Rattus norvegicus: one gene and its partners. The protein of the gene in region 2 interacts with the protein of the main gene of each other region in a pairwise test. Links are inferred from orthologs where the notes say so. Each region holds a gene or a part of one and is shown on either strand. Other genes may lie near its edges.

Evidence for each region.
Region 1: the proteins of Trim54 (region 2) and Tbc1d22b interact in binary tests that used the Homo sapiens proteins (3 or more experiments, as listed by UniProt). The link is inferred for Rattus norvegicus from reciprocal best matches to the Homo sapiens genes TRIM54 and TBC1D22B.
Region 3: the proteins of Trim54 (region 2) and Ttc23 interact in binary tests that used the Homo sapiens proteins (3 or more experiments, as listed by UniProt). The two-hybrid records come from large-scale screens. The link is inferred for Rattus norvegicus from reciprocal best matches to the Homo sapiens genes TRIM54 and TTC23.

Annotation. Positions count from the first base shown.
Region 1 is NC_086038.1:7,637,499-7,642,065, forward strand, and holds part of Tbc1d22b (TBC1 domain family member 22B), read left to right. Parts: intron 1-1,531; coding exon 1,532-1,839; intron 1,840-3,841; coding exon 3,842-4,021; intron 4,022-4,567. UniProt on the Homo sapiens protein: May act as a GTPase-activating protein for Rab family protein(s).
Region 2 is NC_086024.1:30,975,128-30,980,291, reverse strand, and holds the start of Trim54 (tripartite motif-containing protein 54), read left to right. Parts: upstream 1-1,816; 5' UTR 1,817-2,000; coding exon 2,001-2,168; intron 2,169-5,164. UniProt on the Homo sapiens protein: May bind and stabilize microtubules during myotubes formation.
Region 3 is NC_086019.1:130,721,090-130,725,656, forward strand, and holds part of Ttc23 (tetratricopeptide repeat protein 23), read left to right. Parts: exon of another isoform or gene 1-2,556; intron 2,557-3,204; exon of another isoform or gene 3,205-3,310; coding exon 3,311-3,460; intron 3,461-4,567. UniProt on the Homo sapiens protein: Participates positively in the ciliary Hedgehog (Hh) signaling.

The DNA of each region.
Region 1 (4,567 bases), on a different chromosome or scaffold from region 2:
TCGCTGTCTTCAGACACACCAGAAGAGGGCATCGGATCCCATTACAGATGGTTGTGAGCCACCATGTGGTTGCTGGGATTTGAACTCAGGACCTCTGGAAGAGCAGTCAGTGTTCTTAACCACTGAGCCATCTCTCCAGCCCTGAAGATTTATTTTTCCGTGTATGAGTGTTTGCCTCCTACATGAATACATGTGCACACCATATTTTTTGTGCTTGGTGGCTAGGGAGGCCAGAGAGGGCAACAGAGCCCTGAACTGGAGTTACAGAGGCTCGGGAGCCACTGTGTGGGTGCTGGGAACTGAACCCTCAAGGGCAGCCAGTGCTCTCACCACCCAGCCATCTCGATAGACCCAAGGATGTATTATTTGTTTTTTAAATTTTGTGTGTCTGTGTGTGTGCGTGTGTGTGTCCGTCTGTCGGTCATATATGGTGTTATGTGCTCATAAGTATAGGTGTCTAAGGAGGTCAGAAGTGTTGGATCCTCTGGGTAGAAGGCCTTAGAAATGGGGGCCCTTTAGGCACAGCCTGCTCTGCTGTCCACTGCAGCCTTGCCTTGCTGCCAGGGAGATAAGTGGAGGGAGGGTTTTAGTGATGTTTTTACCCCTTTGTGGTCCAGTTCCACGTATTGTATACTGTAGACTCTCAGGTGGCTGCTTCTCTCTGTGAAGTCTGGGAGAGAATCACCAAGCTCAGACTTTTTTTCTCTCGGCTGGCAGAGTTAAAAAGAGGGGGCTTTTCTTTTTTCTTTTTTTTTTTTTAAAGATTTATTCATTTATTATATATAAGTACACTGTTGCTGTCTTCAGACACACCAGAAGAGGGCATCGGATCTCTTTACAGATGGTTGTGAGCCCCCATGTGGTTGCTGGGAATTGAACTCAGGACCTCTGGAAGAGCATTCAGTGCCCCTAACCACTGAGCCACCTCTCCAGCCCAAGAGGGGGCTTTTCATTTTGAGACTCAGTGCCATATGCATGGACAGTTAACGTCACCCAGCGCCCAACAGTACCTAACATTCTACTCTGATGGCTACTCTGGCTCCCACTGGCCTAGCGGATCAACCTTGACACCTCAGTAGTCTACGGTTAAGGCTTGGTTCTTGCTTATGTGTGTCCAACATGGAGGAGGGCAGGCAAATGGAAGGCAAGCTGTGGTCCACCTAGTCGCTCAGTGACTCAGGCAGAGGGAAGCCCTGAGCCTGGAACCTTGCAGGTCACGGTGAGCAGGATGGGCCATGGGGCAGCTGTCAGCATGGTGTGGCTCCCTCACTTCCCTTAGCTCAAACTGGTCAGGTGGTTTCACCTGAGTTCAAGAGTGCCAGGAAGTAAGAGAGTGCGTGGGAGCCGATAAGCCCGATAAGCCCGGCTCTCTGCTCCTCTGTCTGCTCCTCGAGAGCAGCGGCTGGGGGTGGCGTTCTCTGAAGATGGACGGGTGTGTTGGTGGTTGTGAGTTATGATACTGTATGCCAAATGCTAATGAAGGTGGTCAGGCATGTCACCCTGCTCAGCAGTGCCGTCCCCTCTCTTGAAGCTTCATCAAAGAACGGTCGAAAGTCAACTCAGTTCCTCTGAAGAACAAGAAGGCCTCCAGTTTCCACGAGTTTGCCCGGAATACCAGTGACGCTTGGGACATTGGCGATGATGAGGAAGAGGACCTTTCCTCACCGTCTCTCCAAACCCTGAACTCGAAAGTGGCTTTGGCCACTGCAGCCCAAGTCCTGGAAAACCACAGCAAGCTGAGGGTGAAACCGGAACGGTCGCAGTCGACAACATCGGACGTCCCTGCCAACTACAAGGTCATAAAGTCCAGCAGTGACGCCCAGCTGTCCCGAAATTCCAGTGAGTCCATCCTGCCCTTCTGTATCCTCTCAGTGGAGCTCGGCTACAGAGAAGAGTTCCCTCCTGCCCAGATCTTCTATGGCAGGAGGATGCACAAAAACAAAAACACTCAGCCAAAGGTCTGACGCCAGCACACTGGCTGTCCCCGCCCTTCCCTATGGCCTTCGCCAACACTCTCCCCCTTGTCCCTTTCCCTGCAGTGGCAGCCACACATTTCCCGTTGCTCTAGGCCTGGGCAGGTTTACAAATACTAGATGTGTTTAAAGGTGCCAGGGAATGAATTCACAAATAGTCCGCCTCCTCAGCCCTGGGGAGTGGCCGCCCACCTCAGGAGGCCCTTTTCCCATTTCTGTGATGCAAACAGCGTGTACTGAGGGACCAGGTCAGAGCCCCTGACATCAGCCCGCCCTGCAGCCCTGCAGGTTTTGTTTTGTTTTTCTAATTTGGGAAGCTGGCCTCAGTTCCTGCTGAGGGAGATGGTGACTTTAGATGTCTGGGCACTTTCTGTGTACATTTTTAAGGACCCACTAGTGTTGCTTTACAAATAAACCGGCCACTCCGACCTGGGCAGGGAAGTGCCCTCCCTCATCCTAGCTACAGTTAATAAGCTCACAGGCCATGGGCATAAAGGACAGAGGATGTCAGAGCCTCAGAGGATCCTACCTCAGCTTCCCTAAGTTTCTTCAACAGCCTCAGACCTCACACAAGGCCATGCAGTTTGGCCGTGGAGTCTTCACTGAGATTCCCCCCTGTGTGTCTACTGAGACGGGCCCAGCTTGAACCCACAGTGCCAGTCTCAGACAGGCATTCAGCACTGATTGGCCAGGTGGCCTAAGCTATGGATGAGGTTCTCAATGTCAGGAAGGCCCCTGCCTCGATCCCTGCAGGCTGCCCTGTGCAGCCAGGCCCCCCACGTGTCCCCCTGTGGAGGTTCCTTCTGCACATCTGCCTGTAAACAGCTGATGCCGGAGATGCCCATCTGCCTAAGTTTATTGCATGCATTCTGCATTTTCTCAGCCCCACTTGTCACCGTAGGCATCCCAGTCAGGTGCCTTATGGCGGCTGTCGCAAGCTTCTGCAGTGCTGGCCTGTGGAATATATTCATTTTAGGTATTGAGGAACATGACCCAGCCCTAGCAGGGCAGTCCCTGAAACAGTTTTCTTTGTGGCAGCTCATTCTGAAGGGCGCTGGAGTCAGACAGCCTGGAGGCCCCCCTCCACCGCCCCAGTTTCTCAAGTTCCTAGGCTGACTTTGTTCTTCTGTAAAGTCACTAAAACTTTTAGCAGGTGTCGTAAGGGATCATGGGAGCTCATGCTGAAATGGCGGGCACGGCCCCCTCTAGGTGGCAGGCACCAGCTGAGTTAGACCATCTACAGTGGAACAGAGTCCAGCTTCCCCTGCTTTGGTGGTAGCAGCAGAATTCAAAGCTGCTTCATTTGTGTGAGGAACATGGAGCAGAGGAGCTGGCTACTTGGCACGGGGTTGCCTGAGGCCAGAGCTTCCTATACACCTTGAAGGGCTCCTGTGGGCCAAGTGCAGGCCAAGGTTGAGCCTGGCTGTGAGGGCAGCCATGTGCCTAGCCAGAGGGTTGTACACAGGGCCACGGCCTAGCCCTCCACACTCTGCTTTAGCTGTCACGGCCTAGCCCTCCACACTCTGCTTTAGCTCTGTGGCTACCGCACTCACCAGGTTAAGGCAGCTTAAGATCCAGGGTAGGATAGAAAGTTTCGTCTCCCTTGGTGTTACCACGTACATTCTTAGAAGTCACAGCGACATCTGGGGTCAGCTGGCCACAGTTGCCCTCTGTGGTACAGGTGCAGTCCCTCTGTTTGGAAGCAGAGCCCTGCGGACCTCATTGTCTCACTGTTTCTCAGCTCCAGCCTCAGGAGTGCCACAGGCTCAGGTCCCGCCCCGGAGAAAGCACTGCACAGTCTGCGCAGACCTGGGGCATCTGACGGCGACCTTCCTATGTAGGTCTTTCTCCTTTTCAAATCCCTTCAGGTGACACGTGCCTGAGGAACACACTCCACAAACAACAGTCTCTCCCTCTCCGGCCCATCATCCCCCTCGTCGCCCGGATCTCAGACCAGAATGCTTCTGGGGCCCCTCCAATGACAGTCCGGGAGAAAACCCGCCTCGAAAAGTTCCGCCAGCTGCTTTCAAGCCACAACACTGACTTAGGTGCGTTCCCCAGGGCCCTGGGCAGAGTTAGGCACTGTGGTGACTGGTTCTCAGAGGTCGGACATATCTACCGGCTTCCTTCTTTTGCTTGTCCTAGTCAGGTGCCAGAGCAGCGATGCACAGAGTTTAGTCAGAAGCCTGTTGTCGGACATTAGGGACTAGAGTGAATGGGGCCTGCAGACCGTGGGGCGCCCGTGCCAGCGCTGTCTGCTGCCTCCAGGAGTTCTCACAGAAGTCCACGCCTGCATGCACCAGCGTTTACTTACTGGGCCCAGGTTACCTGGCGGGGCCTCTGAGAAAGGGATCTTGACCAGGTCAGGTTGGAGGGAACACAGCAAGACTGAGCTGTAACAAGTTTATTGGGAGCAAATCAGACGGTTTTATATGTTTATCAGAACCAGAATACAGCGGTGGTCGCCAGGATACAGTGACGTTTGCCAGGTATACAGGACACACAAGATTAATGTCTAAGACCAATTGTCCTGTCAAACTTGCGTATGCCTCGCTGACTTGTAGGGAGTGCAGAGGAGCGCAGGCGGCCTGAGT
Region 2 (5,164 bases):
ACGCAGGGCGATCCTCTTATCTCTTGTTCTTAGCACAGGGACATGAAATGTGACGGGGACAGACCTCGCAGGATATGTCATTTAGCCCCTCTGTGCTTGGCATCCTCTCTGTATCCCTCCTTATCTTTTCTTTCTTACCCATGTGGGGTCACAGCCTAGGAACGAACCGTCAAACCTCTCTGTACTCACTGGGAGAAAGGCTAAAGAATATCAATAATAAAAAAAAAAAAGCTTTGTCCAATTCCGGTGTGTGTGGGATAGAAAGAGACCAATGACTAGCTCTCATGCCTGGGATGAGGCTGGCATGGTGAGTACTGTGGTCACTGTGGAGCTGGGAGTCAATGATGCCCAGAGCCTGATGGTGGTGGCTTTGGCAGTGTCCTATGACCTCTCTGCAGAGCGATTCGCTTGGGTACAAATAACTTTCCAAGATGCAGAATTTTTCCAGTCAGATCCATTTCTCAAAACTTTTTTTTTCTTTTTCTTTATGTGTGTCTGTGTGAGCATCTGCATGCATGTGTCCGTGTAAATGTCTATGTGCACGTGTCTGTGAGCCCATGAAGGGCGCTGAGTCTCTTGGAGTTACTATTACAGATGGGTATGAGTGCTGGGATTTGAACTCCAGTCCTCATGATTGAACAGCAGGCTCTCCCGGTCACTGAGGCATCACCAGTCTATGCTTGTTTCAGGTTTAAGCAAATTTAGCATCCTTGCAATGGACTAATGTAGTTGTGGACCAGAATCACACGCTCTCACGTCATAATCCTAAGGCAGGTCTGGGCCTGGTACAGCAGCCACCTCTTGCCTTTGAGCTGCTCTCCTAGGATGATGCCACAAGGGCGAGCCAAGGGCTGGTGACGTAGCCCAGTTAGCAGAATGCTTCTCCAGCATGCTTGAGACCCCGAGTTGACCCCCAGCACCACATAAATGGGGATAATGGTGCTTTCCCCTCAACCCAGCACATCGGATGTAGAGGCAAGAGGATCAGGAGTTCAAGGTCATCCATGGCGAGAATGAGTTCAAAGCTAGCCTGTCCTACTCAAGAACCTGTCTTTAATAAGGGAGAAGGAAGAGATTGTTCTCTGGGGAAAGCCACTTGTCACCAGTTCTGAGGACCTGAGTTGGATTTCTGGCACATGCTGCAGAAAAAGAATTTTCTTTTGTCCTGTGACTTCCACTTGTGCTCCAGGTTGCACCCACCATTCCCCCTAAGTAAATAAGTGTAGGGTTGCTTTTTTATATAAAGGCTGGGCAAGAACAAATACGGGGCAGACATATGGAACAAGATGTTCTCTCTCTCTCTCTCTGGTCTGCCGTTCCACTTCTGAATCATGGAGGAGGGCCGGGTCACTGGCTAAGCCTGTAGAGGAAGCGATGACGCAGTCTACAGGTCTGTCCAGGTCTTGCCCCCCACCTGGGCCCAGGTATGGCACCTCTCCCACAGGCTAGTTTACACTGCGTTTCTGTTTGGAAGAAGGTCCCAAGCCAGAGCACGGAGACCAGTGTTCGGAGGAGCCTTTTCAGTGACAGCGATAGAGCCCCACACGCCACTGGCCACCCATTCCTGACAGTCATGGCCACTCAGTCTGGGACAGCTGTGTCTCGCCTTACATGAGCTAAATTGGGAACTGGAATGTCACAGCGGTGCCCCTGTGTCCCCACCCCCACAGTAACATTAGTCTCTCTCGGGAGGAACAAACAGTGCTGCCCGCAGAGCGAGCAAGAGGGTGGTTTGGGGAGACAGGAGGAGAATCTCACAGGGAGAGAGAGATAAACTACAAGTGCCTGGTGAGGGTTCCGAGCAGACAGAGTGTCTGGAAATAGCCCAGGGAGAGAGGAGCTGTTAGAGGAAGGGACAGGAAGCACCGCTCTTTCCAGAGGGAGCAATATCAGGGATCCCAAGAATCTACAGTCAGCCTAAACTGACAGCGGAAGGGCGCGCAGGCAGGGGGAGAGAAGGCCAGCAACAGGGCCACAGCAAGGCACCAGAGCACCGCGGGATGAACTTCACGGTGGGTTTCAAGCCGCTGCTGGGGGATGCACACAACATGGACAACCTGGAGAAGCAGCTCATCTGCCCCATCTGCCTGGAGATGTTCTCCAAGCCCGTGGTGATCTTGCCGTGCCAACACAACCTGTGCCGCAAGTGTGCCAACGACGTCTTCCAGGTGGGCTGGGACAGGTGGGGGACGGTGGGGGACAGGTGGGGGTCGGTGGGGGACAGGTGGGGGACAGGTGGGGGATGGTGGGGGACAGGTGGGGGTCGGTGGGGGACAGGTGGGGGACAGGTGGGGGACAAGTGGGGGATGGTGGGGGACGGTGGGGGACGGTGGGAGTCGGTGGGGGACAGGTGGGGGACAGGTGGGGGATGGTGGGGGACAGGTGGGGGGTGGTGGGGGACAGGTGGGGGATGGTGGGGGACAGGTGGGGGATGGTGGGGGACAGGTGGGGGATGGTGGGGGTCGGTGGGGGACGGTGGGGGACAGGTGGGGGACAGGTGGCGGATGGTGGGGGAGAGCCCACCCCTGGGAGCCGGTGAAACTGCCCTGGCTGAGAGGCAGGAGAGTTGAGGGTCCCAGAGTAAGGTCCCAGAGTAAGGTCCCAGAGTCAGCATGAGTCAGCAGCTACCCTGAGGCTGGTAAGCATAACCTGTGTCTACAGCAACTAGAAAGTGGGGTCCACCCAGCACAGCAGAAACTGGAAAGGAAGATCGATGGTCTCGCATGGGCTTAGTGGGAGCTTGGACTAGATTTCATTCATTTTGAGGCTTTTATATGTATATGTATATACATATACATATACAAACACACACACATATGAGAGAGAGAGATAAATTTTTTTAAACAAACTCTGGAGAAAAGATCAAGGATATATTGAGATCTTTCTCTCTCTCTCTCTCTCTCTCTCTCTCTCTGTGTGTGTGTGTGTGTGTGTGTGTGTGTGTGTGTTAGCTAGTGTGGCTACCAGACCTCAACTTGAGTTTGATTCCCAAAACATAAATGATGGAAAGAGAGAACTGACTCACAAAAGTTGACCTCTGACCTTCACTTATATGAACACAGACAGACAGGCGCACACACACACACACACACACACACACACACACACACTTTAAACAATAACCTGGTGTGGTGGTGTATGTATGCCTGTAATTCGAGCACTTGGGAGGCTAAAACAAGGGGATTGTCATTGTTTGGTTTTGTTTCTGAGTCAGGGTCTCTGTAACCCTGGCGGCTGTCCTGAAGCTCACTATTCAAACCGGGCTGACCTTGAACTCACAGAAGATCCTCTTGCCTCTGCCTCTCTCGTACTGGGATTAGAGACATCGCTGCCATGCTAGCAAGTGTCACCTTATTTACATAGTGAATTCTGATCCAACTTGGGCAACAAAACAAGACCGTTTCAAAAAGTAAATAAGAAAGAGAAAACTAAAATTAAAAATTGTTGGGGCTGGGGATTTAGCTCAGTGGTAGAGCGCTTACCTAGCAAGCACAAGGCCCTGGGTTCAGTCCCCAGCTCCGAAAAAAAGAACCAAAAAAAAAAAAAAAAATTGTTGGTAAACCGGTGAGAAATCCTTCCATACCAACAGAACTGTGTGTATTTGAGGCAGAGCCCTCTGTCCCTGAGGGGTCTGATAAGACACAGTGGGCCACAGCAGGAACATTCTCTCCAGTTTCACACCGGTGATCCTTCCTGACCTAGTAGGAGATAAATGGTATCCAGGCGACTTACAGACAGACAGACAGACAGACAGACAGACGGCAGAAACAAAATTGTACTTCCCAGAAATGCCTGGGTGTCTGTGGTCATGAGGCCAAGCATAACTAGGTGAAGTCACAGCACTATTTTATCTACACATCTCCAACGCAAAAACAGAAGAGCTGAGCACGGCTGCAAACCCAGCCCTTGGGAGGTTAAGGCTGGCTTGGGCTGCATAAGACGCTGTCTAGCCAACTAACTAACCAACTAACTAACTAACCAACTAACTAACTAACCAACTAACTAATCAACTAACTAACCAACCAACCAACTAACCAACCAACTGACTAACTAACTAACCAACTAACTAACCAACTGACTGACTAACTAACCAACTAACTAACTAACCAACTAACTAAATAAATAAACCAGAGTCCTTTATAAGTTCCTAGGCTTGCCTCCTGGCTCTGTGTCTTGGTAGAGGTCTGAGTAGTTTATGACTGCATCAGAGGTCAGGGAGAATGAAGGAACAGAACTCACATGTACAGACACCGGACCTCACAGATGAAGTAACCTGGATTCCTCAGAGCTGGCTCTCCTGGTGGGCAATCTGTGATGGGAACACCAGGAATACACTTCTTGCCAGGAGCCAGCCTGGGATCCAGCGAGGAAGGAGCACCACAGGCTGGAGGCTAGCCTGCTCTATGTAGCAAGTATACCTGTATACCTGTAGAGTAAGACCCGTCTCAAAAGAGGAAAAGATAACTGTCTGGGGCTGAAGAGAGGACTCGGTGGTCAAGAGCATTTGTTGCTCTCCCAACCAACCCAAGTCCAGTTCCCAGCATCCACGTGGTGGCTCGCAACCATCTGTAACTCCAGTTCCAGGGGCTCTGATGCCCCCTTCTGACCCCCATGGACACCATGCATGCAGGCAAAATACATACACACAACATAAATCTTTAAAGTAGAAGAGTAAGAGTTCTCCCTCCTTATCACAGTGTGAGGAAATGAGTTGAGCACAGATTCCCCTCCCCCCTCTTCCTTCCTCTGGTGCTGTGGTTAACCAGGGCCTTGTGTGCATGCATCCTGCCACTGACCTATACCACAAGCCCCATACAGGCTATTGTTTTTAAATATTTATTTGCCATCCATATGTGTGCACATGCCTGTGCATACAGGTGCCCATGGAAGCCAGAAGAGTGTCTTAGGTGCCCTGGGGCTGGAGTTGTAGGTGTTTGTGAGCGATTATGTAGGTATTGGGAACCAGACTCTAGCCCTCTGAAAGAGCAGCGTGTGCTAGCAACTGCCAGGCTGCCTCTCCCACCTCCTCAGTGGATCTTAGCTTCACTGAGATTAGGCCTCCAGGTTTCTTGGTACAGCATATTTGAAGGCAACGATTGGGCTAAGTTAGGACATCATAGCATGTGTGTATGCCCCATCTGTCTTCTGCTCCTTCACTGAGTAG
Region 3 (4,567 bases), on a different chromosome or scaffold from region 2:
GGTTTACACAATCGTGTGTGTACAGGTGCATGGGCACACATGTGGAGACCAGAGGACAAGCTGTAGATGCCATCCTCAGGAAGCCCAGACACATCCTTTATGACAGGGTATTGCAACTCACCAAGTAGGCTAGACTGGCTGACCAGCAAGCCCCGGGGATCCATTTCTCTTTGCCTCCCTAGTTCTGTGATTACAGGTGCCTGCTGCCACACCCAGCATTTTTATGTGGGTTCCACGGACTGAACTCAGACCCTCGTGCTTGAAAGTACAAAGACTGAGCCATCTCTCCAGCCCATACTGACTTTTTCTAAAACACGCACGTGCACACACACATGCACACACTCATGCACACACACACATACACATCTTTATAGCTGGTCTCTTCTTTTATTTCCTCCTGGAAGGCCCTCCCTGCGTCATTCCAGGCTAGTGTAATATGCCCTCCAGCTCTCTGCTTTCACACCCTTGCCCACATTGGACTCTTCTGAGTCCTCCTTACAGAATCCCATTGGTGAAGTCAGGTATATGTAGTGTAAATTTACATGGATATTTAATGTTGTTCGTAGAACCAAGCTGAGTTCTTGCTCACGATAGATAGTGAACAGATTTGGAATGGATGCTTGGTTGTGGGCCAGCTGACTCTAACTCCCACAACTCATGTCTCATGAGTTCCCATCCTTCCTGTCTGACTACAGAGGCAGCTGACGCCCAGTGTCACTGATAACATGTCTCATTGACTTTGCCCAAGTCACAGAAACCGGGAGTCTCGATTAAAAGATGTGCCTCACTCTCTCAGACTGCCCTTGGAAATCGTAGCAACCTGACTCCTTCCTTCCAGAACTATTTCCAGCCCTTATATGTCCTTGCAAGGATACAAAAGCTGCCCCTTCCTTAGGTGCATGAAACAAATCCGGGTACCTTGTTGAGAGACCCAAGCTCTCCTTCTCCTGCTGGGCGCCCCTGCAGTGAAACAGACTGCCCAGCCATACATGATGGCTTCGTGCTCCTTACCCAGGCTGGCAGCCCTGTCACCAGGGAATGTAGCAGAAGTGTCACCAAGTAGGCTAGGCTGGCTGACCCAAGGAGCCTGACACAAATGAGGATGGGGTTGCACCTAGACCATCCCAGATGTGATTACGGCCTATCCACAAGCTAGCTTGCACTAGCAGCAAGGCAGGCTCTAGAAGGAAATTATTTTTATAGTAAACAGTAAGTAAAGGCCACTCTGCTGCAGACTGAGATATTCTGGGAGAAGATCCAGACATTTGTCCCTGACAGAAGCTAATCAACCTAGTCTCCCTCTTCTCCCTACATGCCATGTTATCTCCTCAATCGCCCCTACATAGGCTGCGTGCTTCTCCTGGGCATTCCAGAGCCCATAACCTTTTCTCTTCTAAGTCCCAATAGTTCTTGGTTCTCTCCATTAAGTTTTTCCTGTCTGTTTTCCTCTGTCATCAGAATGTGCCTTCTGATACACAACCTTATCTCTAGTTTTCCTAGTCAGACTGAAACAGCACTAAAGGCTTCATTCAGGGAAAGAATCTGGAGCCTGTCTCACTGCCATTGATTGGGTTCCCAAAGCTCCACAGTCAAATCCCATGGAGAAGCCACCTCACCCAACTCTCGCACCCATCTAAGGCCTCGCACACAGGTGTCAGGAGCAGGGGCACAGGCCGGTCCGCATGGAGACCCCCATCCCTCATGCGCTCTCACAGACCATACTTGGCCAGTTACACTGAATTGACTTCTGCTCATCGCCACGTTTAAGGAACTGGCCTGGGGTTGGGGATTTAGCTCAGTGGTAGAGCGTTTGCCTAGGAAGAGCAAGGCCCTGGGTTCGGTCCCCAGCTCCGAAAAAAAAGAACCAAAAAAAAAGTTTTTTTTCCTAAGGAACTGGCCCCAGTTCCTGACTCATGTTCCTGCTGACAAATGGGGCCATGTTCTTCATTCACGCCTCTCTGCCTGTCTGTGGCACAGGTCAGCACATGCCCCCAGGGCTGTGCAACGCAAAGGCCTTTCTTCCGTGCTGCCTTAATTGGGCTATTGAACTGAGCATTTGTGTTGTGCAGTCATAATCATGTTGTTATTGACCGTGGGGTTTTGTTTTGTTTTGTCTTTAGAGACTGTTTTCATGTAGAGGATCTGGGGAGACTTTCGGGACCTGTTGGAACTTCACAGACTTCCCCCTCTGTATCTTGGTATCTGCAAAAATCAATATCAGGAAATACTGTTTTCTGACCAACATACATTTTTCTATTCCGTGTTGGCATAAACAAATAGGACAAAGCAAACAAAATGGTTTATCATGCCCCGAGGAGTGTTTACTTTTGGCTTCCTAAGCCTTCTCTGAGAACAGAAAGTCCGGAAGCATGACCCACAAGTGCAGCCCCATCTTCTCATGTCTGAGAACAACAGTGTGGAGGGAGACGAGTGTGCACCTAAAAAGGCCGGGGGAGCAGGTCCCAGCCCCAGCAATGACGAGCCCTGCAGGAACAAAGAGGGTCTCTGCTGCTGCTCCGGCCTCCTCCTGGGTCAGATGGTGGAGGCTGTATGTATCTAAAGAACAAGTCAGATCACACATAAAGTGAGTCCATGAAAACATCAGGGCTCTATGCAGGCTAGCTCTGCTCTTGCCGCTCAATGGAACCGGTTCTAGTGAGAGCTGTCGCTGCCGTGTCCTTGCTGCTTTCTTCCTTCATGTTTTGTACTTTCCCTCCCCGAGTATGTCCTTACTTCCTCCTATCTAACCAGAGGACAGTGGCCCATTCTTAAGAACACTTTTCTCTGAGATGTCAAATGTGTATCAACTTCATGACTTTTCCTGAGAGGGGCACAGCTCTTACTTCAATCCCTGAACTTTTGTAAAGATTGCTTTCTTTTTTTTTTTTAATAATTCCTTTTTTCTATGTACATTGGCGTTTTGCCTTGCATGTAAGTCTATGTGAAGGTGTCGGATCCCCTAGAACTGAAGTGACAGATGGTTGTGAGCTGCCATGTAGGGGCTGGGAACTGAACCCCAGTCCCCAGAAGAGCAGAGTGCTTTTACCCGCTGAGCCGTCTCTCCAGGCCCTTATTTCTATCTTTGTATGTGTACAAGTGTTTGCCTCATGTGTATCTGTGTATCACTTGCACGCCTGATGCTGGCAGAGGCCTGAGCAGGGCAATGGATCCCCGGGAAGTGGAGTTACAAAGCTTGCAAGCTACCTGCGGGTGCTGAACCTGGGTCCTCAGCAGCAGCAGCGAGTGCCTTTAAGCACTGAGCAATCCTCTGAACTTTTAACCGCACCACCAAATTTCGTCCTTTTCTCAGAGAGCGGCCATGATCCTGAGAGAGTCCCTGGAAGCAAAAATAGGAGTGTTCGGTGACTTCAGTCCTGAGGTGGCAGAAACATACCGGATCCTGGGCAGGGCAGACCTGGCTCAGGGAAACAACAACGGAGCGCACATGAAGCTAAAGAAGGTAAATAAAGTGGGGGCCAGCACTGACGTGAAGCACAGCTCCCCTCACTCTCATGTCAAGCTCTTCCCTCCACCGCACTTTCAAGTGACAATCTATAATGGCTTATTTAGGTAAAACGGCATTACTTTTGTGGTAGATTTAAGCTCACATTTTGGGAGACAAGAGAGTTCCTTTAAAGTACATTCAAAAAGTGAATTATCAGTCATGTTTGATCATGCAAATATTTAAAAGTTTTTTCACAGCGTGGCTTACTAAGTCTTTCTTTCTTGTTACTGTGGTCTCCCTGCCTGCCTAGTTCATGGAGGGATTCTTTTGTGCTTGTTTCCTTCTGCTCGTCCTTTGAACCTGGAGTTTATTTTATGTAGACGGTATAAGGTCTCACGTTATCTTTCTCAAAAATACCTCCCTGTAGGAGGGATGTACTGAGCACAGGCTTGGCTGGGACCATTTCACATAGAGCCCGTCACTACTCCAGTCACAGGCTTAGGATGACGTACGCTAAATCCCCATGTGCACTTGGGTTTGTCTCTTGATTTCTGTCTGTTCTGCTAATCTCTATTAAGTGTTAATAAATCACATTTTTAGTTATGGGGATTCTGTGGAATGATTTAATGTGAGATAAATACAAGACAGCCCTCAGGGCTTTTAGTCTAAAACATCAGTGTTTCCTGGATACTTGATTGTTTTTATTAAAGTATTTATAAGTAAATTCTGGGAAAACTGACTTCCTGGTGTTGTTGAGTCTTTCTACCCATGGGCAAAGGCTGCCGTCCTGTCTGCTCATGTCTGCTTCGTGTCTCTCATACACACTGAAAAGCGTTCCATCTCTAGGTCGTGTGCATTTCCGTGCATTTTATTATTACTATTACTTATTCTTGTGTATCTAAGGATTATTGGGATTCATGCTTTTATAATCTCTCTAACTAGCTTAGGTTTTTTATTGCTTGGATTAATTTGAACATTGAGTCTCTTGTTTTTCTAGACATACTAGAGTATCATCTACAAATAGACATAGTTTTACTTTATATTTTCAGCTCTGTGACCAATTCCTTTATCCAGGTGCTTCGGCTCACATGTGCAGCACAATGCTGACGGCAGAGGATGTGA